4 linked regions of the Struthio camelus genome follow. The protein of the gene in region 1 purifies or fractionates together with the protein of each later gene. This does not show direct contact. Links are inferred from orthologs where the notes say so. Each region holds a gene or a part of one and is shown on either strand. Other genes may lie near its edges. The genes, in order: AAK1, REPS1, RALBP1 and AP2M1.

The links.
Region 2: the proteins of AAK1 (region 1) and REPS1 purify together in Homo sapiens (affinity purification with mass spectrometry; 3 studies listed by BioGRID and IntAct, counting the BioPlex papers as one, with this or other methods). This does not show direct contact. The link is inferred for Struthio camelus from reciprocal best matches to the Homo sapiens genes AAK1 and REPS1.
Region 3: the proteins of AAK1 (region 1) and RALBP1 purify together in Homo sapiens (affinity purification with mass spectrometry; 3 studies listed by BioGRID and IntAct, counting the BioPlex papers as one, with this or other methods). This does not show direct contact. The link is inferred for Struthio camelus from reciprocal best matches to the Homo sapiens genes AAK1 and RALBP1.
Region 4: the proteins of AAK1 (region 1) and AP2M1 purify together in Homo sapiens (affinity purification with mass spectrometry; 5 studies listed by BioGRID and IntAct, counting the BioPlex papers as one, with this or other methods). This does not show direct contact. The link is inferred for Struthio camelus from reciprocal best matches to the Homo sapiens genes AAK1 and AP2M1.

Annotation. Positions count from the first base shown.
Region 1 is NC_090968.1:3,007,588-3,014,842, reverse strand, and holds the start of AAK1 (AP2-associated protein kinase 1), read left to right. Parts: upstream 1-4,250; coding exon 4,251-4,413; exon of another isoform or gene 4,414-4,521; intron 4,522-7,255.
Region 2 is NC_090944.1:75,177,687-75,184,981, reverse strand, and holds the start of REPS1 (ralBP1-associated Eps domain-containing protein 1), read left to right. Parts: upstream 1-4,292; 5' UTR 4,293-4,524; coding exon 4,525-4,677; intron 4,678-7,295. UniProt on the Homo sapiens protein: May coordinate the cellular actions of activated EGF receptors and Ral-GTPases.
Region 3 is NC_090943.1:116,298,729-116,305,966, forward strand, and holds the start of RALBP1 (ralA-binding protein 1), read right to left. Parts: upstream 3,019-7,238; 5' UTR 2,809-3,018; intron 1-2,808. UniProt on the Homo sapiens protein: Multifunctional protein that functions as a downstream effector of RALA and RALB. As a GTPase-activating protein/GAP can inactivate CDC42 and RAC1 by stimulating their GTPase activity.
Region 4 is NC_090950.1:22,546,368-22,553,801, forward strand, and holds the start of AP2M1 (AP-2 complex subunit mu), read left to right. Parts: upstream 1-4,434; 5' UTR 4,435-4,578; exon of another isoform or gene 4,579-4,619; intron 4,620-7,434. Other genes in the region: DVL3 (segment polarity protein dishevelled homolog DVL-3), read left to right, coding at 533-745, 1,053-1,477.

The sequences.
Region 1 (7,255 bases):
CACCCGGAGGTATTGTGCAGGTACACAACGCTGGAGAACTCTGCAACCTAAGTGCTGGGGTGGGGGGCGAAGGGAAACTAGGAAAGCTTGTTACAACCTGCTGTAACTTGTTATATGTTACCTCCCCTGCCTTACGCACCCACTGTAGGACAGAATAGCAAAGAAAGATTTTAGTGAGGTTGATAAATCTAGTGGGGATGGACCCCACTCGCCTCCAGGACGGAGTTGCCTCCTGATAGTTAGATATAACCAGAGATAAAGCTAAGCAGGCTCTTTTCTACCTTGTTGCCACTTCCAGAAAAATCCAGAAGAGGTCAGTCTTCCCTAGCTTTTAGGTTATTCAACGTGCAACATTTCCAAACTTGTGCTCTTATTTAGAAAATGCTGAGCTGCCTGGAAAGTTTGATCAAGAAGGATGCAGCCATATTAATGTTTCCCTGTTTCTTCTCCTGGGGATCTGAATGCATTCTGTTAGTAGTATAAGGGAACCAGGAATCAGACAGATAATATAGAAGCAAACAGCTCTGCTGACTATGTCCTCAGGCCTCAAATATTTTAAAACCAGTCTCACAAGATTTTAGGAACTAAATTGTGGCGTTTAGTACTAGTCGGTACAGTACTAGTCGGACTGAGTTTCTCTGTGCAGTGGTACAACTCCAAAAAGCACACCAGAGATGCACCAGGCTTAGATGAGAGGAGGACTTGACCACGTCTCTGCTGGCAATCACTGATTAGCTTTTTCACGTAAACCTTTCAAGCTCAGGTCTCTCTGATCCCGATGAAGGTCACTGGGATTGCAGCAATGCAGCTGCACCTCATGTTTTCTAGAATAAAGAATGGCATCAGCATCTGCAACTGAGGATCTGCTTCTGCTATACTTTTGTTCCCCCAAACAGTCACCAGCAGAGTCTGTGGGGGCTTGCGGCAAGAACCTCAGGGCCCCATAGCTGCACATGGATCTGATACCGACTTGCATTATACCTTAGCACTTCCAGGTGCATTAAAAAAAAGTAGTTCTCAGTGCCTAGTTAGGATGTTCAGCAGTGCATCTGCAAGCTCTCTGCATGGCAGTAGGTTTTATCTTTCTTAGCTGGAAATGAGTCATTTCCCTGTACTGTACAGAGATGCCCAATTTTCTTGGAAATTGTTCAGTTCTGCAGAGTCTCCAGACATCACTGACTGCAGGTCTCTGCTATTTTACCTCAATCTTAATAAATGGCTGAGGATGTTTCATAGGTTAGACCATTTAAAAAAAAAAAAAAAAAGCAAGCAAGCAAACTGGACAGAACCCACGCTTTCTCCAGTTCCTACTCTATCTGCAGGGCAAGTGAACCTTCTGTATTCGCCATGGGCAACACATCGTCTAGCCACAAATAAAAACTGAACAAGGTTTAATGAAGATTAAATGCCTGTTAAATAAAAAGAGGACAGTTTTACTGCTTTTCACGTTTGTGACTGCTTGACATGATTGCCGCTTCAGCCATGTGGACCAAGAGCGTCTTGTAAATGAGACATGAAAATCATGTAAAGATTGGAGCAAGTTTGCAGCACTCTACAAACTTTGCGTGAATGATGGCGGTCCAGGAGGCCTTTGAGGTCCACACAGCCAGCTTGTAGGGCCTTACTTAGGAGAACCGCTGAGAATAAGGATGATGGAAGAGGTGTAGAGTTAACCGTTCTGGAGAGGCACAGTGGCTCAGCAGAAAAGCAACTGTACAGCGATGCTTACATCAGTAAAGCAGTTTTAGATCCGTGTCTAAAACATATGCTAAATTTTATCATCAACAATTGTATTTGCTTATACTGGGAGCCACTTTCACAATAACATGTATCTTAAAAATCTCCAAATGTTGGCAAAAGCAATTAGGTCCATTTACAACACGCTGATCCTGTCTTCTTGGCACTGTTGGAAGCCTGTGCCCAAAAGCTAGCCCATTCAAGCAAGGTAGCGATGAAGGAAAAAGAACAGTACAAAGCTTGTAATTTCTTTCGCTTGCGCATTGCTTCCCAACATATTCTCCAGGGTGTTTTAGCTACTCAGTTGTTTTCATTAAAGTTCTCTTTCTGAAAACAAAATCCAGGGTAAACATTTTTGCCAGCCCACAATAGCCAGGGCCTGCCTGGCCTATGCACATGGGACTGGGGCTTGTCAGCACGATGGCTGTAGTTATTACCATAATACAGGAAATAATAGTCATTAGGCAAATACGAACGCACTCTGGTTTCCTCTTTTGCCCCTCCTTCTGCCCCAGGCAGAGATGAGGAATGAGAGCGTGAGAGCGCTGCTTTCACAGAGGCGTCCCTCTCCGGCCGCAGACTCCGCAGGCTTTTGTGTTCCAGGTCGCAGGTCTAGGAAAAACCAATTCTTGCTGGTTTAACGTTCCCCTTTGCCATTCAAAACCCCGGCTCTGGCTCTCCCAGGTAACGCGTGTGGAAAGCAGGGATGGCTGCTGCAGGCACCGTCGGCTGGCAAATTTAAAGCTCTCCCGAGTCCTGAGAACTAGAAAATGGCTGAGAAGAACACAAAGTGCATTTTAAGAAAAATTTCACATGATGCAAGCTCAACTCACCGTTCTTTGATGTCGGGCTCGCAGGTTTGGGGTTCTTCGGACCAGCCACCTCGCTGCTGGTGAACATCTCACTGCAAGCTTGCAAACTAGACAGGTCCTGGAGAGGGGAGGAGGAAGAAGACAGAATTTAACAGAAAACCCAAGGCTCGGTCCCAGAGTCCATACGCTAAAGCCAGTGAGCGCTTTGGGTGCGTGGAGAGCGTTGTTCTCCGCGCCACGTCCTGAAAGGTACTGAGCACCCACGGATCAGCACCGGGGAGGCCTCTACAAAACCCCCAAATTACTTTGAAACAGGAAACTAAATAAACATCTGATTTTGGCAAATCCACTTAGAAAGAGCGTTGAGCCAGGCTGCACGAAATCAACCGCTAGATTTAAAACACTCAGCGAGTTCTGAGATGTTGGGGTACGGCCGAGTCCCTTTATTCGAGCACCTCTTTGTTCCCCGACCAGGCACAGTTTGGGGGCGGGGAGTTATTTTCTTCAGTGTGTAGTTTCTTGTGCCTTTTTTTTTTTTTTTTTTAAATTTGAGATTCTCAACCAGGTGCAAGCCGGGCCTGCGTGAAGACAAAGCCTTGGAGCTTCACTTCCAAGCTGTCAGAGCGGACAGTTTTTTATTGTTACGTGACACGAAAACGCCGAGGCCTTAAGTGTCCCCTGGAAAAAAACAAAACGCGCACAAACGGCTGTAACGGCCGCTCGTCACGGCGGGGAGAGCGTGCGCGCGCGCGGGCTGCGACCCCCTGACAGGATCCCTGCGCGCAGCGCGGCCCCGCGCTCCCCCTCGGAGCTGGGGGGGGGGAACATGGACCCCGCCGCCCCTCCGGTGGCCCTCCGGTGTCGCCGGCCCCCCGGGGCAGCCCGCAGAGCGCATCGCCGCCAGCGGGGGCGAGCGGGAAGCCCCCCCCTGCCCCGCCATCCCCTCTCGGCCCCGCATAACGGCGTTGCTCGCGCCGCGCTGCCTGCTGGGACTTGTAGTCCGCGGTGCGGGGAGGGGGTGGTGGTGGGGGAGGCGGCGCGGCGCCCGCTGGAACTACCGCTCCCAGAGTGCCGCGCGGCGGGGCCGGCCGCCGCCATTATCCACCCCCCCCCCCCCACAAGCAGGGTCTCTCGCCCCTCCACGGCGCTGAGGCGGCGGGAGGAAGAGGGGGGGGGCTCCGCGGTGGGGGGCAGCGGCGGGGCTGGGCCGGGCCGAGCCGAGCCGGGGGCGGTCTTGCCGCCGGGACTTCCTGTGACCGCCCATTTCCTGGTCGGATGGGGCCGGCGGGCGGCGGCGGTGGCGGCGGGGTCGGTGCCTGACGGACTCGGTAGCCGCCGGGAGCTGGACCGGACCGGGCCCGGCCGGGCCAGGCCAGGCCAGGCAGCGATGCGGGTACCGGGCCCTGCCGGCAGGCGGCCCCCGCCGTGAGCCGCGGGGGCTGCGGCTGGGGCAGGCCTGGGCTGCATGGAGGCGCCCCCCGGCCGCGCAGAGGTACCGGGCGGCCTGACCGGGGGGAGGCGGCGGCGGCGGCTCCGTGAGGGGGAGGCCGCGCCGCAGCACTGACCGCCCCCTCCCGGTTTTGCAGGTGTGACTCTCCTTGAGCGAGGCGAGCGCGGCTCCCCCCCCCCCCCCCCCCACCGCCGTCCCCTCCTCACCGGAGCCCGGCGGCGGCTGCGGGACCTCGGCGGCGGCCCTGAGCCATGAAGAAGTTTTTCGACTCGCGGCGGGAGCAAGGCGCCTCGGGCCCGGGCTCGGGCGCCAGCGGCGGCGGCGGTGGCAGCGGCGGCCCCGGCAGCGGCTACATCGGGCGGGTGTTCAGCATCGGCCGCTACCAGGTGACGGTGGACGAGGTGCTGGCCGAAGGTGAGGTGCCCGGGCCTGCTGCTGCCGCCGCTTCCCGGCCCTTTTCCCTCCTCCCTCTTTCCTTAGGGACGGAGGCTGCGGCCTCCCTCTTTACCCCTCTTCTCCTCCCTCCTCCTCCCCCCCCCCCCCCAATATTTCATCGTCCTTGAGGGACTCGCACTTGTGTGCTTTGACGTTTCTGGGTCCCCCCCCTCCCCACCACGTCAACCCAGTGTGGGTTTGCTGGGTTTGCTTTACTTCTTGTGTTTTACAGACTTTAGGAATTGCAGGTGTTTCAGAAGCTAACGCTTTCCCCCACTTTGTGGCTTGCATGTATATATCTTTTATTAAAGTCCAAGTTGTCATCTGTTCTGGTGGAGAGCAGTGTACCTGTAAACAAAGAAAGCAGCGGTCTTCTAACTTTCTTCAGCCAGTTCCCTCCTTCCCTAGCTTAGGGTGAGGGGATGGAAACGCTAGAGTAAATTCCTTGCGTGTTTATCACACATGTATGTAGGCTGAGTAGAGCTAGCTCTTATCTGAGATGGGGGATTGCTGTTTGTGTGGAGTTTCTGCAAGGAAAATGGCAAGCCCACTTTTTGTTAAGAAAACATTTTAGGAAGAAGAAATGAACAGTAGAGGTTATGAAGCTCCCTATGGACACAGTCCTTGCAGTGCAGAAAGCTGGTGGTATTATTTTTTTAAATTGTAACCAACACTGCTGCTTTAACTATCATTTTACGTTTCATTTAGTTGGGCATAGGGTACCTTATGCGTGTCTCTGGCTGGTAACCTTAGCCTCAACCTTCAGAGAGATGTTAGCCTCTTTAGACCTGCTCCCGGGCCATCTCCTGCACAGCATCCTTTGTAATTTTGGTGAGAAGTGTTTTGTTTTGATTGTATAATAGCAAAGGAAAGGGTAGCTAATGTACAAGAGCTGAGTGAGAGGGCCTGTATTGGATTTTACAGACAGAACCCTAAAATGGGAGACCTGTAAGGGACTCTGTGTGTGTGTTTGGGTTTGTGAGAATTATCTCAGTGTGAAAGAATATCTGTCTGCGACCTTTTTTTTTTTTTTCCAGACGTGCTTTTTCTGATGCATAGGTTCTGGTGCATGCCAAGCTGAGAGGAGCACCAGAAACAGTCCTTCAGCTCATAACTATAGCAATTTTTCCCCCCCCGTCTCCTTCCTTGAACTGGAAGTTGTAATATGGATTTGCCCTAGCTGATACTTCTAAGGCCCTTTGGCCATAGCAGCTTAGGAACTAGACAAGTTAAACCTGAGTGGCTGTCACAGTGTTCCTGTCTGCGCACTGGCCTCATCCTGGTAACACAGGAAAATGAGAGACTTTTTTTTGCTGATGAATAATCTGTTGGCAGGTCCTGCCCTGCTGCTGACAGCAGCAGGACGTGAGCCTGTATGCCACTGGGCACTCTTCCGCTCAGCTCACTGAAGCTGCAGCCAGCAAAGGTGCTGGGCGGTAGGGCAGACTGCGTGGGCAAAAGATTATCGTGGGAAAAGTGCCTCCCCTTCATACCTTGCTGTCTCGAAGGAACTGCTACTTGTGAAAGCTTTTCTCTGTGACTCTTGGGTTCTCCGCTGGGCTGCGGGATGGGCCTAGTGCTAGCTACAGCTGTTAGATCTGCTTGCACGGGCTGGTAAAGTAGGCATGACGTTCTTTTCTGATCATGCCATAAGGCAAAGGAAGTTCTCTAGGTGAAGTGTGCTAGGCAGGTATTTTCTCACAGTTAGACCCCTGGTACAGGCAGTCGGAAATCCCTCTGAATGGTGAGTGGAGTCTCCAAAGAGACATGAGCAAGGTGGCTTGTAGATTTGCGGGTCATCACCTTTTGATGGGAAGGGAGGAGAATGTTTCCTTTATAAACACCAGAAAGGCCTCGTAGGTCATCTGGGGAGACAACATAGGTTATAAGTGTGGCAGCTTTGCATACTTCTGACCTTTTGGTGTAGCTGCCGGTGATCCAGAACTGCTAGCAAGGAGCGTTTTTCACTGACTCGGCTAGAGATCTGGGGAGCTGTTTGGCAACCTGGACCCTGTGCTACTGAGGTCTGAATCCTTGTCTAGAAAACTTTTTGTATCTGGTGTTAATTTTGCTGGCTCAGCAGTATTGGAGAGCTGACTTGCAAAGTCTTGACTGTGCTAAAAGGAAAATTCCCCTGGGAAGCGCGTTGCAGGAGGAGATGGAATATCCTGCCTGCGAAAGAAACCTCTCTCATCCCCCTTACTTTAGAAGGGGGAGAAGGGGCCTGTGTGTTGGTGCAGCATGTGAAGCATAAGAAATTAAAGTAGGTGTAAAAAATGGCTTAAAAGAAGGACTCTGAAATGGTGGTGGATGGTGTGGGGGAGACAGAGTTGCAAGCCTGAGGAACTGGTTGAACCAGAACTTTTGGAATTGAAGTGTTGGGATTTACCTCTGTCTGTCAAATCTGTGACCAGCCACCCTCAATTCTGCTGAGCAACCCTGCTGAAGAAGCCTGCTCTCTGGCTCAGACAGGAAGTCCTTAAACGCAGGCACAGTGAAGTGTGCCGGATGGCAGACTGGCAGATAACTCCATGTGCTGTCAGTCCCTTGGGCAGATCCCCTGAGATATCCAATGCAGGTTGGTACTCCCCCCCCCCCCCACCCCACCCCCAATAGTTGTGTCTGGATATGTGCTTTCCTGGGTGGGGAGGAACAAGTCAGGATCCTTCCATCTGGAAGGAAGTAGATGGGAATAATATAGGAAGGGATTTGAGTGGTTGTTTGTGGCATTATAATACAGGTAAATCAGTATTTTCTACAAACAGTGTAATGCGATAGGGGGTTCTTTGAGTCTCTGTAGTCATCTTCCTCTAGTCTAAGT
Region 2 (7,295 bases), on another chromosome or scaffold:
ATTAAAAAAAAAAAATACTCCACAGTTAATAAATGTCTCCAGCCGGGACCCCATGCGTATTTTAATGGTTATACATCATGCTAGAGAGGCTTTTGAGAAAGAAGTTACATTCCCTTATGGGATGTGCCTGCACAGAGATGCAGAAGGGATCAGAACGACCACATTGTGGTAACTGTATTCCTTGAGATTCACTGTGTACTCGCTGAACACTCCTTGCAAAGGGGTTCTCTGTCCAAAAGAAAAAAATGGTAGACTCCTTGTTGTTATTGTCTGCTACATAGCTTCGCGTGGAAAGAATTGTTTCATCTGCCATTGAAAACAGACTAAAACATGGGGCATTTTTTTGGTGGAGAAATAATCTAGCAAGACAAGTCGGGGTAGATTTTATGAGGGTAGATTTTTTGAAATATGGATGCTATTCCATAGAAGATAAAAAATCACCAGCAGGTATAACCTAACCAAAAACTGGTGTTTTTGTAGTTTACCAAAATTGCAAGAATGTAACTATCAAGGTTGACAAGATGTCACAAAGTGTAACTCATACAACACACATGGAGAAATTTACAGATTTGTAGACACAAATATCTATATAGTCTCTAAAAAGACTGTATTTACATTAAAAGTGTTGATTTTCCATATGATAGGAATCAAGGAGGCTTTTAGAAAAGCGGAACAAGGACTTCTTTGATTTAGAAACGCCCACAATATTCTTCTGTCTAGGAATAAAGTATGCCCCCTCCAAAGCAGCTCCGAAGTCAGCAGCAGCAGATTTCTGTAACGATCTCCCATTCATTTTTAGCATTACTCTACTTCTCTTTCCACTAAGGGATGAGGACAGAACAAGTTCCTGCAACTCATGATGAGTTGCAAGTAAAGGAGTGTATTGACAGAGTTTGTAAAACCTGCTCCACAGCATTATGTATGGAAAAAAACTTAGAAAAGCAATGACAAATAACCTCAGGGCCATTCTTCTAAACTTGGGGAAAGAGGTACAAGATGGAAAGTGTGCCCAAACTGTAAAAGATTAAAAGTTATTTCAATGTGTTTCAATAAAAAAGTTATATAAACATATGACTTATTTTGCTGCAAATAATGGCAGCACATGAGACTCTCCAACAAGAATTCAGAGGCCCATCAGAAGCAGGGAGATCTGGGACACGGCCCTCCCATTACACCTGATAAAGACAAGACTCTGTATATGCATGTGTTTGAGTTATATTTATAAATTAGTCTCAGCATGTTTAACAACTAGTTTCTAGAAATCAACATTAAATAATGATAAAAGATACTGAAATCTGAACAGTGTTTTAACTGGCAATTCCCTTAAATGAATAAAACATTACAATATATCTGGTTTCGGGTTTTTTTTTTCCTAACAGCAACTGACATGCATGTTTTTGGTTGCATAGTAAGTTGTAAAGTATTCCTTTTCTAAAAAACAAGGTTTTATTGGTGCTTAACTTGGTTCTGATTCTAAAAACTGTTACGGGCAAAGTAACTTTGCACTATCTGGGTCCTTAGTTCTGGGGCTCCAGTGATGATTTCTCTGATTTTGTTCCTTTAAAAGAATGATTGCTTTGATATTAATGTCATCTGCTTCACAGAAAATATAGTAAAATTAGGCACCAACTGGAGAATAGTTTAACTCTTAATTCGTAACTCTGAATTCTAAGGTGAATTAAAAAGAGCATAAAGAGTATGGTACCTTAAAAAGCCAAGAAAGCTCCTCCTGCTATGTTTAAATGATAATTTAAGGCAGTTAAATCAACTTTTTATTGTAGTAAGACATCAAAAATGAAAATATACTTGGGAGAGTATTTTGCCATAAACCTCCTTCTTTGCATACCTAAAACGAGCTCTGGGAAATGCTCTGATACAGATCTTCCCAAACTAATAAACTAGAAATGAAAGTGCTGAAGAGTAAACAAAACAGGTAAAGAACAAGACAGAAATTATCACTGAAAAATCCAGCTAATTTTTTCATCTCAGTAGACCTGGAGTCTGACTTGATGGGAACAGGTAACGTTCTGAACACCTACCTCGCTCTGGAGATTTGCAAAGGTCCTGTCCAGGGAAAGGAGATCCCATAGCCAAACACAGATACACTGTAAATGGGACTGAGGCAAACATGTTTCCCACATATGTAGCCCTTGGGAATTAGAAGTTAATTTGCTATGCCTCATTTTATTCTCACTCTTTCTGCTAAGTCTTTGAATTAGCACAAAGGCAAGGAGGTAAGTTTATGATATGGGAGTTGGAAATGGAACCAAACAGCTTCTTTTCCAAAACAGCTCCCTAAATGGTTTTCAGAGTGGTGGTATAAACAGTGAAAAGTCCCATATATTCCCCCAATGCATTCAACTCTCCAGTAAATAATGGCATCACACTTTGACATAAAACTCATAATATAAAATTATTTTGACAAGTATAACTACTTCTGTGTCCTGAAACTAATTTCTAAAGAAGTTTATGGCTGTAGATACATACATAGATTTAACTTCCAAATAGTAGTGCCCAAACCAGCACACAATCACTGAACCTTTAGGAAACAAATGCTCTTTGAACCCAATCACCTACTAGCAAGCACTTTTAAAAGCTCTCCTACAAATGACTGTTTAACTGATAGTATTGTAGTATGCAATTTAGCCCTAGAGGAAAGGTGATATTCATTTTACTTACAGAAATACGTGACAATGGCTCCAATCAACTGACCTCCGATGCTAATTTGTTCCTATCTCAGTTTTTGATATATCTAGTTATTATGATTTTATAAAGTTAATTATAATTTCTTCTATATAGCCCATAAAGAATTTTAACTAACTGAGAAACATGAAGAATCTGTGTGGTCTCATGATTAATATTAGCTGGGGTTGCAAAAGATTCCATAATGGTACGTTTCTGCAGTTAACACAAAGATGGATCTTCCCAAAGTAATTTTTCAGTGGTTTCTAGAAAATTTAGTTAGCAGCAAGAGGATATACTATGTTTTTCAAAGAGAGCAAGAAAGACTAATCTCTGCTTTAAGTTCAGAAAAGAACTATCTAATTGCAGAAAAACAATTAGTATTACCTTGTTAAATTATAATGATGTTCTTTTAGCTCAAATAGAAGACAAATGCTGGAATCAAAATTCAGAAATCAGAGCTGATGGGTAAAAAAGGATGAGATGGTTAAGTGAAGTACAACAAAGGCAGCAGCAGCCACTCGGAAAGAGAAAAGGAAGAGCTGTGAAGGAAGACGGACTGGAAAAAAAGACAGATAAATTTAAAAAAGAAAAAAAGAGAAAGGGGGAGACAATGTCTCTAAATACTAGGATTTCCACCTCAGCAGGATTTAAACCAGACCAGGTACTAGCAAGGGTCTAGTATGAGACCATGACATTCTGCACAGGTTAACCGACTGTCAGGAATGGCAGACTGGCTCCAGAAGCACAGTTACCCTGCAAAGAACTAACTGCAGTTGTATTCTGGTGAGGGCTTACATTTCCCCACCAAAGTAGAGTCCAGGAAAAAGAGAGCGGGACAAGCAGAGTGGTAACTCCGGCTGAAGAGACAAGCGAGCCCTTACTTATTCTTTCTTGCTAGGCTGATGTATGGAGCTATTACCAAGGCACCTCCTAGTATTGTGTTATGTAGCAATGCTGCATGAAGCACTGAGGGTAGAAGAAGAAAGCACGTTGAGGATATAGTCAGGCACACTGGGTAGAGCAGTCATCAGTTATCAGGAAAACCTGCTTTAGGGAGGCCTCTGTTCCCGGAGCCCTCTAGGTCACAGGGAAGGCAGACTGTGGAAACCATTCAGCCCTGCCCTCGCTTGCTCCTCAGGCCGGCCTGCAAACGAGGAAGGCGCCCGCGCAGCCGCGCCGACACAGGGCCTCTACCACTGCCCCATCAGCCGCGGGGCGCGGGCCCGGCCGGACCGGCGAGCAGGCCACGGACGCCGCCGGCGCCCCGAGGAGGAGGAGGAGGGCGCAGCCGGCAGCACCCTGCTCCCGCCACGGCGCCGCAGGGCGCCACCAGGCCCCGCCGCACGCGCCCCAACGGCCGCACAGGGGGCGCTGCCGCGCGCGCGCCCGGCACAACACCTCCCCCTCCGCTCCGGCGGCGGCTGCATATCCGGGCCTCGGTAAGGGGGCGGGCCCTAGGGCGCCGCTCGGGAACTTTATTCGCGCTCTTCCCCGCTAGCCCCGCCCCGCTGGGCCTTGCACTTCCGGTGGTTCTCGCCGCCGCCGCCGCTCGCCCGCTGGTTGGCGCAGGCGCGGGGGAAGGCGCGCAGGCGCGCCGCCGTGTGGGCGTGGAGGGCGGGGCGGGTGGGCGGTTGGCGGGGGAAGGTGTGAGCGGCCGCTCGCGCGCGGCGGCTGGCTGGGCGTGCGGCGGCGGCGTTGTTCCCCTGCCGGGCCGGGCCGGGCCGGGCGGCGTGAGGCGGCTCGGCGCGCTTTCTCCTGCCCCCGCCTGCCAGGCCGCCGCCGTTGGATGCGAGGCGGCGACGGCGGCAGCAGCAGCGCTGCGCGGTGCCCGGGTGTAAGATGGAGGGCCTGACGCTGAGCGAGGCGGAGCAGCGCTACTACTGCGACCTCTTCTCCTACTGCGACACCGAGAGCACCAAGAAGGTGGCGTCCAACGGGCGGGTCCTGGAGCTCTTCCGCGCCGCGCAGCTGCCCAACGACGTGGTCATGCAGGTAGCCGCAGCCGCCCTTTCTCCGCGGGGCGGCCGCGCTCCCGGCGGGCCTGGGCACCGCCCCGCCGGTAAAGCCCGCGGGGAGGCGGCCTCGTCCGGGGCTGCCGCCCCTCCCGTGCGCTCGGCCCGGCTCTGGCTGCTCTCGCGTCCTTCCCCGGCCGGGAGCCCTTTGGCGGGGGTCGCCCCGCCGCGGGTAACGAGCCGGGGTGGAGAGGCCGGACCAGACCCGGGGCGGTCGGGGGCTATTGTCCGGCCTAAGGCGAGCCTGGAGCCGTCCACCTGAGCCCGGGCGGGAGGGTGGCAGGGCTGAGCCTCTCCAGCAGGGAGGCAAGGGGGGGTCCGCGTGTTGCTGGGCAGAGCGTGCTCCTAGTAGGGCCCCTGCTTATGTGTGTGTGGGGCTTCCAGTTGCAAGACTGGGAAAGGTCCGCTGATAAACTCCAGTGGCCATGTCCAGCAACTGGTAGGAAAGTGTCTTGTTTGCTCTGTGTTGATAAAGTCCATCCAAAGCATGAGAACCCTGCCCCCCCCTCCCCACAAACTGATTTTAGGATGTGAGGAAGGTTTGTCCTACAATTCAGTGGTGAAGAGTACTACAGAAGAAAACCTGGGTTTGTATTTTTGGGTACAGCTGAAGTTGATTCGTTTTGCTTATGTTATGCAGTCTTTTTTAGGCATCTATTCCCAGCTGGTATTAACTTACCTGTAGTCACCAAAACGTTTTCTTGCAATGAAAAATGCAGTATTGAGTTAGGCCTGTACTTGTAATACGTATATGAAGAGTTTTAGCACTGCTTTTCCTGGCCAGGTAAGATGTAAAAGCTGTGATTGTATTACAGATCTACCAATGCAGAACAGGGAAAGTCTACTCTGATGTGCCTCGTGTAATTATTTGAGGAAATTATTCACAGGGTGCCATGCTTAATCAATAAATATTTGTAGTAATTGCTTTTGCAGTTATCCCTGTCAGTGTTCGTGCTTTAAAGTTTATGCTGTATTTTGAACGCCTCTGAAAAATGCTGTGGGTAAAACTGCATCTAAAAGGCATTCTGTATGTTAGGCAGTTTCACGCTCTTCCTAGATAAACAGCCCTTTTAATAAAGCATCAGCGTTACTGTAGCCAGAACTACAGGACACACATTTCAACTTTCTGCAATTTAGTACTAAATGTCAGGAGAATACTTATGCTTAGCAAGGGTTATTGATAATGTCTTCTGGGCTCATAAAAACAACTGGATTAGTTAAAGGAGTTTAAGATACCCTGAATCACATGTTTCAGCTCAGTAGAAGAGGGTGATAGTTGTCAGGGGTTGGGAGTTTTTTTGTTCCTTTTTTTAAGGCTAAAATAAATGTTTGTTAGTAGTAAAACTAATAATCTTTTATTTGATAACTTGCTAGAGTGTGCATAATGTTAAGAGAGCCTTCACGTTCAGTATTATGAATGAAGTTCCTGAAGGCCACTCACTGTTTCTTTTTGTCTATGGCCAATGCATTTCAGAAAACTCATCCCAGGAAAGTGGATGTTTACCTGCTTGGTGTATTTAAAATCTCTTTTCCATAAAGCTGTCTGGATCATTGTGTAGGTAAAATAGGCTAGTGCTAGAGATTTTATTCTATGCAAAGGTTTAGTGCAAGAGCAGAAAGACTTGGTATTTTGGATACAAGTGGCCACAGACTATATTCTTATCTGTACAGAGAAGGTAACATATTTTCTCGCAAAGGAGAGCGCATCTGAAGGAAAGAAAAACTACTCGGGCATCATTCCATGGGTTCTAAATAAATTGTTAACTCCAGAAGCAGACCTGGCTTATCACTAAAGTGATCTCAAGGAAAACCTTGCAGTTAAAACAGTAAACAAGATGTTAAGATTGCATGAGGAATGAGACTGTAAATAATGCAAAGAAAGTCAAAATGCCCTTGCATTTGACATAGGTCAGGCTGCTCTTGTGCGTTTAATGTTGGTCACCTGTGAAGTACCTGGTATTTGTGAGGGAGAGGACCAGTTGCCTGGTTCTTTATATTCGCATTGAAGTACAGCTGTACTTGTAGTTAGGGCAGACGTGGATATATTAGTGCATGTTCTTCAGAGGATATTTGATGCTTCAGAGGTTGTGAGTATACAACTAAAAACTCAATGTAGCATAGTTTAAAAAATATCGATGAAACCCTGTGATGGGCACTGATGTTTTTTTTTTTTTTTTCCTTTCCGTTAACTACCCAATTCTGTGTTCTGTTATCTGTTTCCCTAAAAGTCCTGGTATTTGTAAGGGAAAGGAACTTGATTCCGTTACTTCAGGTACTCGATTCAGTTCTTATATTCTCCTGAAATAAAGTGTAGTCCTCCTAATCACATAAATGCTAAATACTTTTCTGGTGTTCAGTTTAACTTGATGCAAAATTGCTGCTATTCAAATCCACAGGAACTGGATAGTCCTGAGGAACAACCTGCAAGTTTTTCTCTTTAGCAATACAGATCTGTAGATACCTTTTGAATAATTCAGAATTGATGCTGCTGAAAATAAAAATGCATGACTTGTTTGCAAACCTGTTGTTTTGGGACTGGATACATCTACAGCCTTTCCTGCCAGGAGTTATGTTTGCGTGAAGTTTCTGTTTGCAACA
Region 3 (7,238 bases), on another chromosome or scaffold:
TCACTCCATAGTCCCCTCACAGCTTCAACTAACTGTGTATTTGCTGAAGCCATGCTCAACAGGGTTGATGGGCTGCCAGGGGGAGGATATGCAGGGAAGGGAAAAGAGTCATACCCTTCCTTTTTCCAAAAGCAACCTGCACGCTCACCTTTCTGGTTTGGGCCACGGCAGGCGGGAGAGAACTGCTATTTGGACAGTAATCATCTTTCAACACCATCCAGTTGGGCGATGCAGCCTAAGTGCAGGACTCCCCCAGGCTATATCCAGCCCAAAGGCAGGATCTTCTCTTTTTGATCAACGATTTCCGAACTATGGTGTCCAAGGTACCGGTGAACAGAACAACTGATGGATTCTTCAGGTGAAAGTCTGAAGTAGGCACATGGTGAACCACGGCTAGTTTTAAGGGTAGCGAGTGATTCACTGGTTCAAAATATTCTTAGACGCATTAGTCCAGAGTAAAGCTTAGTAGGTTATACTAACCATACAGTTAAATGAAGAAATAAGTCATACTATATTTTGACATTTAGATACCAGTTACATGACATCAACTTTTAAAGAAGGAAAATAAGTTTGCATTTGTCCGTATTTTTACACGGCAGCGTTGTTCATATCAGTCTGAAATAGCTTGTCAGAAACAGCACTGTTTACTCAGAAAACATCTAAGCCTTTGTTGTAAGAAAATACAGACAAATCATACTAGGGAAGTGCCTAGAAGATACGACTAAGATCACAATCCTAAAGTGTTAACATACAGTACACATGCACATCACTTTTGCTTTAACTACACCTACAGAACTAAGCAATACAGCACTGAAGCGATAATACAGTTATTGCAATACAAAGACAACATATTCCAGTATGGACATGCACATACAGGGAGGGAAATAAGCTACGCGATACAAGAAATCTTTCTACTGCATCTAAGTACAACTGCACCAGTGGTTTTACAAGTGAAAATTTTACAAACAACAAATAAAAAAACACCCCAAAACAAAATCCTCCAGCCCCACAAAGAAAAAAACCACATTTAATTAAGAAAGAATGATGCCAGAATTGCAGTTGAATTCTTAAAAGTCTGAAGCAGCTATTCCAATCTTCTATTTCCATTTCAGATACAGCAAAACTAAAGAACAGAAATTATTTTCCCAGAGTGATAGAGAAGAGATCCCTAGAACAGGAAACTTACAGTTCCCTGCTCTTCCATAATAAACACCCTACTATGGACATAATTACCTACAATATTACAGCATATTTTCAGCACATTTCAAACACCTCGAAGTAATAAACATTCAAAAACATAACTGTTCGGAAGCTTTTCTTCCCCACTTTTTACTCCTCTGCAGAAAAGAGCCCTCCACGAGTACGTGCCACACTGATTGCATAGGACTATATCAAAATGAATTATAAGTTGTTGTATGGCATCATTCATCAGAAGTTGCATGCAACATTTCAAATTATATCAAAAATGAAATCAAATGGACTCTTTAAAATTTGGTAATAAAGTCATATCTATCTACAATCAGACCAAACATAGCCTTAATATCACCCTTGAATTACACTGCATTACAGCGATGTTGAACATTTACAATAGTAGGTGCTTCAAGAGCTTTCCAGGTGAGAAATAGATGTGAGAAGGCAAATATTGCTGTTTTGCTATACTGGAACAAAAGACTTGCACAAATCCATCTATTTTATGCAACTTGTAAAAAGGTCCTAGCCAGTTATTCCTGATTGTTATTCTTCGTTGAGGATGACCATAAACCTTAGGGACAACAGAAAACAAACTGAAACCAAAACATTCTCGGGAAGAGATACTTTCAAATTATCACTGTGGTTTCTTGGTATTTTCATTATGGTTTGTCTTAAGATACTTAAGCGCTTAAGGGAAGAGCTACTTTTTTACTCATGTATGATGCAATGGTACATGATGTACACATTTTCTAAACAACATCATGAGGCAAGCAAACACAGCATGCTTGGACCTTGCTGAGCATACTAGGTGCAAAACTATAATGATGTCAATGAGAGTAAGAGTTTTCTACTTTTAAAGATGTAACCTCCAGCTGAAGGTAAATGAATAATAATAAAAAAAAAAAACTCATAGAAACCGAGGATGTAACCTAGAACACCTCTAATCTCAGCCTGAGCGACAGCAAATCTGACACATGCTTTGGAGCATGAGATTAAGGTAATAAGAAAATACGGCACAGGAGGAGCCTGACATCCACCCAGGGATGCACAATGCTCATTCTCATTAAGGACACGAGCGAAAAGAATGTCATCAGAGAAAGCCTAAGGACCAGATCCCTCTCCTGAGCAGTAAGACAGGAGACAAGACAGGGCTGGGACACATGGTCTCCGTCCCCAGCACTACCCCGCTCCTCCACTGGGGCACGCACGCCCAGCAGCTCAGCCGCCTTACCCCAGAGCTCTCAAGGGGGAAGCCCCCAGCCGGGGACCGACCACCCCTCCCTCCCCCCGCCGGCGGGGACGGCTCCTCGGGCAGCGCAGCCCACGCTGCTGCCCTCCGGACCGGCCAGGTGAGAAGGCGGCGTCTGCGGGCAGGGAAGAGCCGGCGACCCCGCCGCCCCTCACCCGGGGCGCCTGCCGGCTGGGGAGGCCTTGAGGCTGCCCCTCCCTCCCCCCCCGGGCGGCCGTTGCCGGGGGCGGGGGCAGGCTCCCCGCCACTCGTTATCCCCCCACCAGCCCGGAAGTGGCTTCCTCCTCGCCCTTCACCGGGAAACGAAGGCGGCCGGGCTGGAGGCTCCCGCCTCCGCCCCCCTTCCCTCCCCCCATCGGAGCACTAACCGTCGGGGTCCGGCTCGCCGGCGCGGCGGCTCCGCCTCGGCCTCACGCGCGGGGCCCCGCCTCGTGCCCCATTCCGCCTCCGCCGCCCGGCCCGCAAGGACGGCTCAGCAGCGGCGCGAGCTTCCCCAGCGCGCATGCGCCGCCGCCGCCACCTCCTCCGCGGCGCGGGGCAGAGGCTCGCGCAGGCGCAAAGCTGCCCAGGCCGGAGGCGGGGGGAGCCAGCGCGGGGGGGGGGGGGGAGAAGTAGGGCGCGTGCGCTGTAGCGTTGGGGGAAGGGCGCCGGGCCCGCGCGGGGACACCACCCCGGAAGAGGCGCTCTGCGCACGCGCAATAGGAGGGCGGGGAGACGAGACGGGGCAGGGAAGGAGACGCCCGTCATGTCCCTCCCCTGCCGCGCTTCCCCCGGGCGGGCGGGGCTTGCCGGGTATTGTAGTTCCCTCGGCGGAACCCAGGGGAAGGGGTAGCCGGTCGCTTTGCGGGCGTCGGACTACAACTCCCAGCGACCTCGCGGGGTGGAAGGCGGCAGCCGCGTGTTAGGCGGCTTCGAGGTTCGAGGCGCGGCCGTGCTGTCGGCCTCGCTCGTTCTTCAACTCCCGCGAGCGCTGCGCTGAGGGAGCGCAGGCTGTTGCGGGGGCACAAGAGGCTCCTGCCTCGATGGCTTTCCGGCCCTCGTCGGTCGTGGGGGCTGCCGTGCTCTGTGGTGCAGGACCCTGGCCTGCGGCAGCTGTGGGCCCTGCCGGGGGAGAGAGCTCCTCTGGCAAGCAGCCGGTGGCGTCCTGGGAGGGAGGCGGAAGGCCGAGGTTCACCTGGAAGCCCTGCGACCGGGGTGCGAGGGGAGCTGGTCCCAGCTGCAGGCAGCGAGGCACTTTGGGGCCAAGGGCTGAGTGGAGCACCGCTGAAGGGGGTCCCCGGAGTGACCCCTTCAGCACTCTTGTTTCAATGACGGAAAAACTTCATAAAGTTCACCGAAGGCGCCCTAACCAGACAGGAACAAAAATCTGCTTCTTTGAGCAGTTTTACGAGAAACATAAGCATTGGGAACGATTCATCAAGTAGTCTACGACTAAACCTGTTGTGAGATAAACCCCTTAAAATTTTTAACAGTGGAAAGTCAACAAACGTTGAAAGACACGGAACACAAATGCAAGAGCTGACACAGCTCTGTAGCTGTTTACATCCAGCCTGCTTTCTCAATAACATTGCTATCGACTTCCATGTTTACAATGCAAAAGAGAGCAGCCATCTACTTTGGCTTCATCTTGTGCAACAGATTTGAGCTTGCATCATTACCAGTTTGTCTTTGTGGCATACAAGAAATTGGAGAAATACTCTGTGACTCGAGGAGGTGATCTGTGCCAAGAAACACATCTCCAGCTCAACTCGCATCCTGTTTATAGTGATATTAAAAGAATTTTGTATTCTTTGTCTCTTACCATACAAGTTTCTGATTATGTTAAGCACCTGCATATCTTGAATCCTTTTCAGGATTCCTAATCAACAAGGGAATTTGTTCCAGTAAGAAGCAGACCAGTTCATTCCCACAGCCTCAAACATAATCCCTAAGCTATTGGACACATTAATACTGTGGCAGTGTGCCACCTGCTTCGTTTATTCACTTGAGATTCAATGCTCCTTAGTCCTTGTCAAATGGGTTCTTTGTGCAACCTTCTGTGGTAATGTAAAAGGTCCCCCACAGGAATTTGTGCTATTCAGTAGAAAATACAAAAGGGAGGGTTGTAAACACTCTGATTAGTGTTGGAGCACAGAGATATTGTCTCCACAGCATATTACATAATCATGCAACTCTCAGTTTCCCTCCTCCCTCCCAGAAGGAACAGTTTAAAGGCAAGTACTTACTGTTTTATTTAACTTAACATCACAGCTAATGGTTTTTGTTACACAAAGGCTGTATTATTTTTGGCAAAAGGAGGGAATGGTTTCTTTAGTAACATCTATAGTAATTTGAGATGATTGCCTGTAAGGGTCTCCACTTGAAGTGATAGTCACTAGAGGCTCTCAACTCCAAAGAGTAAGTAGTATCAGAGGCTGTTGTTAACATAAGCTCACAAACACTAGGCCCATCAGCTGATAAACAGAGAATGAATCTTCCTCCATTTTTTGCTGAAAACAAACAAGTAATTGTGTGCAGTACTGGACCAGCTTGCTGCCATATGAAATACAATTGGGTAATTTTAAACTTCAGAAACCTCATTGTGGTCCGAGGCCTGCTTACGCAGACTGAGACACATTCTTACGCCCTACACCTCCTTACATTCACTCTTCATAAATTCTTGCTGTTTTAAGGACAAAGTCAAGCAAGGATTCTAAGATGACAAACTCTCTGCTTTGAAATTCAGTCTTGCTTCTGTACCTGAGCCTCATAAATGTTACAAAATAATAATGGAGTGGTGGTCTAGAAAGCATTTTAGAAAAAAAGGAAAAAAAGCAGAGCTGTGTAAGCTGTGACTGCTTCAAGAAAGCCAGTTTTGGGTTAAGTTTGTCTTTTTATTAGTGAAAGATAGTGGGTACATCTTCTATTTGGCAGTCTGAAATAGTGCCTGAGAAACCATTTTAATATCTCAACTTCCAGGTTTACTCAAAGTTAAAAAAAAACCTCCTTTAGTCCATGTAGTTACATCTGCTGGTACCACAGATGGACTCCCTATGACACTGAGCACTGTCCTTCTTGCTCATAAAACTGAAAGAGCTATGTATGAAGTGGTAAATAATAGATATCTTCCAGAGATCAATTCAACTTCATGACTAAAGGCCAAAGGGAGCACAGTCATTTTATTATAGACACCTCCAACTTTCCTTTGTTGACCAAGCACATATTTGAATTGAGAGGATATCATAATGGAAGACTTGTTTCCATAAAGATGAGGAAAGTCTGTGTGTGGCAGAACTGGAAAGAAGAAGGGCCTGCTCCCCCTATGGCCCTCTCTTTCTTTCACTCCTGTCTGCACAGCAACTTCTTTTGAATGGGGAGAGGACACGATGAGAAGTGTTCACTCAAAACCCTTTGAGAGATGGGAGTCTAAATGGGCTGTACTATTCTGTGATAACTTTAGCACATTAGATTCTATTAAATTGTCTACCCTGGTGGGCAAACCACAGGTAGACACACTGCTTAATTCTCATCAGCCATAAAGAAATACACAGCAGTCATAAAGAGGTATAGCTGATGAAAGACACTGGCCGGCCACATATGAAAACATGCATGCAAAACAATGACAGCTTGAATACACCAAGGAAAGTGCAGAAGAAATAGATTAGTTAAAATCTTCAAAAAGCTAAGTTATTCATAGGAAGTATCACATAACAGGAGAGAACAGAGCCAGAAGAGCGATATGATAAAAAATCAGTTCGCTATACTGAGCTCTGCCTTTACAACTCCAATTAGCACTACGGAATCACACTATTCGCAGATCTTTGTTGTAAGAAGAAAATTTAAAAAGACATATGCAGTGAAAGGATATTAAAAAACTGGACCTTGGCAGCCTTCTTAGCTAGATTTGTTTGAAAAAGACTTTGTTCCTTCCAATGTCTTGTTTCTAAGTATACTTTAACTACATAGTACTTGGTCAAACAGATCACGCCAAGAACTCATCCATCAACACTGTCGCACCTAGTGGGAAATCTCAGGACAAGCTTTTTTTTTTTTTTTTTTTTTTTTTTAAACCCCAATAGACATTATAATCACTAATATGTTAGGTTATGTGATAAAAGACTTGTTGACGCAAGCACGAAAGAGCACTGAGGCACGATGGCAGGTGGGGGAATCACAATAAACCAGTCAGAGAAAGGAGCCCTGGGGCCAGGGGGACCCTTAACCATGAGGAGCAGCTCTGTGAGAGAGAGCGTCTGCTGGGGGCGTGGGACTCGGTATGGCCTGCAGGGAGGACTGTCTAGGGGTTGTACAAAAATTCCTATATGATGTTTAGGAGGAGGACCACAGGAGGGGAGAAGGAGGGATCAAAGTGGTTTGGGGAGGAACAAGTGTGGGAAAATAGTGGGATAAGGAGATAAAAGGGGCTGGACAGGTGCAAACAGGTTGCACTACGCTTGTCTGGCCATGCCCTGTGCCTCACCACCACTCTGTCCTGTCTGCTCCATAAATTCTATTTCTAGCTCTCTTCCTGTGTGAGGGGGCTCTATTCAGTGTGTGCATGGAGGCCTGAGTGCCACCACAGCGGGGCCACGAGTCACAGGGGCTGCGTGTCTCTCGAGTGCCACACTTCAGACACCGGAGCGTGTGCATATGGTGTGGGTCTGCACGTTGGCGTGTGATTGTGAGCCAACGTCAAGCCGGACTAGCCGGTGGCAGGGTAAGTGGCTTGGGAAGGCAGACAGAAACCAGAGGAACTGCGAGTTGGCTACCGGAGGCACCAGGATGTCCAAGTCAACTACTGGGGAGACAGCAGGTCCGG
Region 4 (7,434 bases), on another chromosome or scaffold:
GTCAGACTTGGCCCCTTGTTGTACAGCTCTCTTTAGAGAGCAGTGAAAAATGTCCCAGCACCCTTGTCATGCTTGCTGGGGCTGTGAATTTGGGAGCGTTGTTGACACTATCGTGTGCCACGCAGTCTTTTTGCCTGGGCAGCCAAAGTAGAGTCTTAGCCTTTTCTGACTGTACTTGGCTCCAGGCTCTGAGCTTTCACTGCTGGCAAGGGAGCGGTGCTCTTGACAGCTAGGTTCTGCTCAAATGAGAAGGATGGATGAGACTAATTGGCAAGGCAAGCTCTAGCTCTGATGTGGTCCTTTCCCTCTGAGCTTGTTTCTGTCTCGGAGTGACAGCTCCGAGTCTCGCAGCCTGGATGCTGTCCCTGCGGGAGGCACACGTGGCTGTACTGCTTAACAGGGAGGGTGCCAGCTTCTCTTACCTCCTTGTGTACCGCATCGCTGCCTGTCGACAAGGGTGGACATGATGCTGTTTCATCACACGTGGCTATCTTTCCACTCGGATTAACCCCTGTTCTCTACTTTCCTGCAGACATGGCTAACCTGTCTCTTCATGATCATGATGGCTCCAGCGGTGCCTCCGATCAGGACACTTTGGCTCCGCTCCCACACCCGGGAGCCGCACCCTGGCCTATGGCTTTCCCATATCAGTATCCACCACCTCATCCATACAACCCCCACCCCGGCTTCCCTGACCCAGGCTACAGCTATGGAGGGGGCAGTGCAGGCAGCCAGCACAGTGAAGGTGAGTGAAAGGGACCCACATGTGCCTGTAGAGCTGAGCAGGTGCCCTGTTCACTTGGGGGAAGCTGCGGGAACAGGCTAGTCCCTTAGGCAAGGCTGTATGCATGGGGGAGCCAGATCAAAGCCTTCATTCAGAGGAATCCCACAGGGGTTATGGGATTAGAGTTGAACGGAGAGTGAGACCATGGACTGTGCAGTCTGGTAGCTGTGCTGCAGTGTGTTGTAGTCCTGTCTTGGTGGGGAGCAGAGGATTCTTTCTTCCTGGTTTATCTGATGTGTTGCCTAACCTTGCCCCGTGTGTTTTGCAGGGAGCCGGAGCAGTGGTTCCAATCGCAGCGGCAGCGAGAGGAGGAAGGAGAGAGAGAAGACTGGAGAGTCCAAGTCAGGTGGCAGCGGGAGCGAGTCGGACCACACCACCCGGAGCAGCATGCGGCGTGAGCGTGCGGCCAGTGAGCGCTCGGTGCCTGCCAGCCAGCACAGCCAGCGCAGCCAGCACTCCCTGGCTCACAGTATCCGCAGCCACCACAGCCAGCAGTCATATGGGCCGCCTGGCCTCCCCCCTCTCTTCAGCCCCCCCATGTTGCTGATGCCTCCACCGCCTTCAGCCATGGGGCCCCCCGGGGCACCGCCGGGCCGTGACCTGGCCTCTGTGCCCCCAGAACTGACAGCCAGTAGACAGTCCTTCCGAATGGCCATGGGCAACCCCAGTGAGTTCTTTGTGGATGTAATGTGAAGCGCCCGTCCCCTGTCTGTCTGCTGCCCCTCCTTCCCCCTTCCATCCCCAGTCGTTTGTCTCCTAGGACCAGCCCCAGCTTCACCCCTTGTTTTTATGGGTCTTTTTTTTTTTTTTTGGTCTTGATAACTAAAAGAAAAAAAAGGGAAAAAAATAAATGGAACTAAACCTTGATTCTAATCCCTCCTCGAGCGGGGTGGAGGGGCCTGGCAGGCCTGCTGAGCTCTGCCAGCCCATCCTGCCACCAGACTTGTGTATTGCCGATGGTAATTCCCTCCTGCCGTCCTCTCTAACCCCATTAATCTGCATCCATCCCAGCGCCCTGTGCTGCTTGCCCGTGTGTTGCTGCTGCCGCAGTCCTTCTGCCCTAAACATCTCTTCTTTCTTTTCACCCTTTTGTGTTTCTTCTATCAAGCAGCAAAGAATTACGGGGTGTTTGACTTTCTCTGAGCCTGCCGCCCGCAGGGGGGAGAGCTGGAGCGTGGCGTGGCCCGACAGGAGGACACGGAGCTCCAAGGGCGCTGGGCACGCATGGTGCTGAAGATGTCTTCTTTTCTCCCCCTAGCGGAAGACTCCCTGCCCTTTCCGCAGCACTGAGAGGGGAGCAGCGCCCAGCTCTGGCCTTATATGTGTTTAAATCCAAGTGTAATTGCCTTTTGGCTAATGCATGAATGTTCCAGGGCTTCACTGCCTCTAGGGAGTGGAGGGATGGTGCCACTTTCCCTTAGCCTCCCTCCCCTTGCCGCTCCTTGGGCCAAATCTGAGCCTGGCGCTACCCTATGGCAGAACCCTCCTGCCTGCTTCCCTGACAGCGAGACTTGAGATTGGGTCCGTTCCTCCGGCATCCGACCCTGACTGGCGCTGGGTACCTAAACATGTCCGGTCGAGGCCTGGGGGGGTGTGTGGTGTGCACGGGTGTGAATGTAAGGGCAGAGCTCTGCTTGCTCTGCCAAAGGGGGTGCAGAGGCCCAGGCGTTGCCCTCCTGCCTAGCACACCCTGCTGCCTGTCTCCTGTGTAGGGGCTGCCCCTCGCCTGGGGCCAGTGTCTGCAGCTGGGGCCTTCCCCCTCCTGCTCTGCTGCGCTTCCCTTCAGCAATGTAACATCTCCCACAGTCAATGCTGATGTGTGGGTGGCCTGGACAGAGCTAGAGGGTGAGGGAGGGGCACTTCTGGTCCGCTTTCATTCTTTTGGGGAAAGCGGAGATCTCCTGTGTTCGCTGGCCAGCCGCACCCTCTGCTCCCCCGGGATGAGCTCTGCTGGCCTGTCGAGGGGAGGGAAGGGGCTCTGGGCCCAGAAAGCTGCAGAGCTGGGCCTGCCCCGCTCCAGCCTAGATGCAAATGGCTCCCTAAAGAGACGCAAACCCTCCTGTGAATTAAGGACTGTGGTGTTGAATGCAGGGCCCTGGGCTCAGTGCCCACAGAGGATTGCGATGGCAATTGAGTCCGTTTGCTCTGATGCTCCCTTCTGTTTTTTCCTCCTCTTTGGGGTGTGTGGAGCCTTTCTTCCACTCTACAAGAGTGGTGTGGGAAGGAGATGTGCCTTGGGTTAGGGGGTGGGGGGCGGCCTCCTCCTCAGAGCCTGGGGCTGAGCACGGTACGGTAGGGATGCATTGGACCCTGCTCCCGTTGGTCTTGGCGCCCTCTCATATTGCTGACCATGGCTTTCTCTGCAACAGTGTTGCCTCCTTCAGCCTTTCTTTCTTATGTTTGAATTTTTTATATTTTGGAGATGAAATGTATTTTGCTCCTCTGGGGTCTGCGTTGTGCCTGCACCCCCTCTGCCAGCTCCTGTGTGCCACCAGTTCATCTCCCTATGACTCCCTAAGCCTCTCCTCTTCCTGTGCCTGCTGGTGCCAATTTGCCCAGTCTCTGCCATCTTCCTGTCCCCTGATCTTGGTGCTGGCAAGCTGCTGCTTGTCCCTTCTCCTGCCTTTCGTAATGCCACCCAGCAGCCTCCCCTGACCACTGCTCACTGCCCTGCCCTGCCCTGCCCTGCCCTGCCCTCTGGGTTTTATAAAAACAAAACCAGTCTCCTTGTTTTTATTTATAAACATAGTTTTATTGGACTCCTGCCTCGTGTTGTTTTTTTTTCAGCACCCTCTTCTTTTCTATGCTCCTGTGTTTTGCTCGGCAGCAAGCTCTGGGCATCGAGGGGCTGTCCTGGGCCTGAGCCTCTCTGTTTTCTAACAGAGCTATTCTTCCTGGGCTATTGAGACCTGCCATGACTTAACCTCGGCCTGTCCCAGCCTCCTCCTGCTGCTGCTTTCTGGTGCAAGAGCTGATTGATCACAGCATTAGAAGATGAAAAATTATTCATTGGGCCTGTAAGGCAAAGATATTTGCGGTGCATGCGTTGGGGGGTGGGGGGATGACTGGGGCCTGGGCAGCTCTGGAAGTGGGCTCTGCCTGGCTGCCCGTGGCACGATGAGATGAGGGGGAGAGGGTGGCAGAGGGCGAGCTGCCCCAGGAGCACCTGCACATATGGCCTGTGAGGGGGGATGGCGCGGGTGGGTGATGGGAAAGCAGCAGTGCCTGTGGCTGGGCACGGCAGCTGGGGGCCTGGCCGAGTGCACCCACCTTTCCCCACGGGCTGTGTCCCACGGGTATCCCCAGCCCCCTGCGGATCAGGGAATTGAGGGCTGCTGGGGACAGTGGGCTGAGGGCCCTGCTCGCACGGACCATGCCGAGGGGCAGGGGATGCCCCGTGCTTCGAGCCCCCCCCCCGGGCCGGGGGGGCTGCTGCTGGGCCTGCGCAACTCCACGCGTGGGTGTGTCAGCTCTGCTACCTCCCGGAACTACAACTCCCAGCTCGCACCGCGCCATAGGACTACAACTCCCAGCGCGCGCCGCGCCGCAGGACCACAACTCCCAGCATACTCAGCGGCCCCCCCCACCCCCCCCGCGCGCCGAGCGACTCGGCGGGATGCGGAGCACAGTCCCCGCCCTGCCTCCCCGCGGAGGCGCATGCGCAACTGCGGCGGGGCGCGGGCGGGGCATGCGCGGCGGCGGCTCTGCAGTGATAGGGGGGGCGCGGAGGGAAGGGGGGGGTGGCGGCCGCCATCTTGGGTAGTGAGCAGCGAGCGGCGAGCGGGCGGCGGCAGGTGAGGCGCCGCCGCGCGGTCCTTCTTCCTCCACGCCGGAGGTGCGTGTCCCGCTTCTCCCGCGGGGCGGCTTCCCGGGGCGGTGGGGCTCGTCTCTTCCTCGGGGCCGAGCCGCCCTGGGTGGTGGTTCCCTCAGTACCCGCCGGGGGCGGGGGTCTGCGGGCCTCCCCCGGCGGGCGCGGCGTGGCACTGACAGGCCTAGGGGGGTCTTGTCAGGGCGAGGCCCCCCGACGGCTGCCCTTGGGGGGGGCCGGCAGCGTCTCCGGGCCGCCCCGGGGTCCCGCCTGGAGCCGGCGGGGCGGCGAGGGAGGGAAGCGGGCTCTCCCTGGAGAGCTGCTCCTCAGCCCGCTGCGAGCGGCTGCCGGGCCTCCTCCCGGGGTGGCCCCCAGCCTCGCCGCTGGCTGGAGCTGGCTAGCATCTATTCGCGTGTTGCTTTGGGGGGGAGGTGGTTGTTAGCCGCCTGTGTTAATTAATGCTCTGTCCGGAACACCCGTCGTGGCGGCTTCGTGTCCGCGGTGCTGCTGAAGACCGGGTGAGGGTGGTGGTGGCAGAGGCAAGACCTGAGCGGTGCAGGGTGTTGGGGAAAGGTCTGCACCGCTGTGCTGGGTCACCCCGAGCAAAGGTCTTGCGGTCGGATTAGGCAGGAACTTCCCCTAAAATGACTTATCTGTACTCCTGATATGAACATGAATTAGCTAGGTCGTGGACTGCACCCTCTAGCTTCCTTTCTGGAGAACCTGCTGAGGCAGACTATAGCTCTGCTGATGCTGAACTGTCCTTGTTCTGAGGTTTGAAATGGGCCCTTATCCCACAGCTCTTCTAAATGCATTTCCACTTCCTTTCTTCCATGGTCTAGGTTTTTGGAGTCTGTAAGGCTACAGGAAATGCAGCCTTTGTACAATGTAGTTGACTTCTCACTAGGAAATGAGTCTTGTTTGATCTGGTCTTCTCTCTATAAACTGTAAATTTTGAAGTTCTGGTTTTTTTCCTTGCTTTAGGATGACAAAGCTGCTGTCAACTTCTAGCCTCAGGCTGCCAAAAATCTGAGCCTGGAGCTTTCCCAGATAGGTGAGCCTGGATGGCTTCTGCTGTGGCTCAGAAGTTGAGATATTATGGATTTCTAATTGAATATAGGTTCCTGTAGTGGTGTTTTGTTAGGTAGTGTTCTCTTGAATGCTGTGAGGACCATAGTTACTATTCTGTTCAGTAGCAAATGACAGACTTGTCCCCGTCAGTTTTGCTTGCAGGGACAGTATCTCATCTGGTGAGATGCTGCCAAACTGCCTACTTCCATATTTTTTCTGTCAGAAGGAAAGCATTGCTTTTGTTGGGAACGCCATGTTACTGACATCTAGTGACAAGGATACCTGGTGTTCTTTGGGTTGCAAGCTTGCCATCTTTGTCTCCAAGAAGAGAACCTGTTTCCGATACCCTTGAAGGGTATCATGACTAAATTCTCCCTTTCAAGAGAGCACATTTCCAGCCTTCTAAGAATTGAGTCTTGAGGCTGTGAAGGGTTGAATCTTGAATTCTTTGAAACACAGATGACTGGAAGTGCGCTCTGCTGATTGGATGAGTTTCTAATCTTTTTGATGGGATGGGAATAGTCACTGAACAAAACATGCTTTATATAAAAATTTCTTGTGACCCTACTTAAACTTAGCTTTAGGTCTTCTTGATGCAGGGATGAGACAAAACTTTCTTGTGCAACACAAAGTGTCTTGCATTAGTGTTCTAAGCTTATACTACTGAAGACTGCTAGTGCGTGTTAAAAATGTTCTTGGGGTTAGCTGAAGGACAGACAGAAGTACAGCCCAGGGTGCCAAAATGTAATAGGTCTGTATAGTACAGCCTGCTTCTTTCCTTTAGTAGATGACTAGAGTCACAGAATGGCCGAGGTTGGGAGGGACCTTGGGAGATCATCTAGTCCAACCCCCTTGCTCAAGCAGGGTCCTCTAGAGCACGTCGCACAGGATTGCGTCCAGGCGGGTTTTGAATATCTCCAGAGAAGGAGACCCCCCACAACCTCTCTGGGCGACCTGTTCCAGTGCTCAGTCACCCTCACAGGAAAGAAGTTTGTCCTCAGATTCAGATGGAACCTGCTGTGTTCCAGTTTGTGCCCGTTGCCTCTTGTCCTGTCACGGGCACCCCTGGAAAGGGTTTGGCCCCATCTTCTTCACACCCTCCCTTTAGATACTTGTACACATTGATGAGCTCCCCCCTCAGTTTTCTCTTCTCCAGGCTGAGCAGGCCCAGCTCTCTCAGCCTTTCCTCATAGGAAAGGTGCTCCAGTCTTCTAGTCATTTTCGTAGCCCTCTGCTGGACTCTCTCCAGTAGCGCCATGTCTAGTACTGGGGGGCCCGGAATTGGACACAGTACTCCGGGTGCGGCCTCACCAAGGCTGAGTAGAGGGGGAGGATCACCTCCCTCGACCTGCTGGCAACGCTCTTCCTAAACGCGGCCCAGGATGCCATCGGCCCTCCTGGCCACAAGGACACATTGCTGGCTCACAGTCCACTTGTTGTCCACCAGGACTCCCAGGTCCTTCTCTGCAGAGCTGCTTTTCAGCAGAGTCAAAAATTACTGGCAAGCCACGCTTTATTTTGATCTCAGCAGGAGGTTGGCAGCTTAGCTGAAAGCTTGCAGCCTGAGGCACGGGATATGAAATGCAGTTATCTGTTCCAAAGTCATAGCAGAAAGAGATATACTGGCAAGTTGGGGTATCTAGGCCGTTAGTGGTCTGCAGAATACAAGCTCTTATTCAAACCGCAGTCCGTGTCTCTAACCTTTTCTGTTGAAGACGAATAGAATGCAAGTCACTGTTCAGAGCTGTAGCTCAAGAGTGAGCAGTTCGGC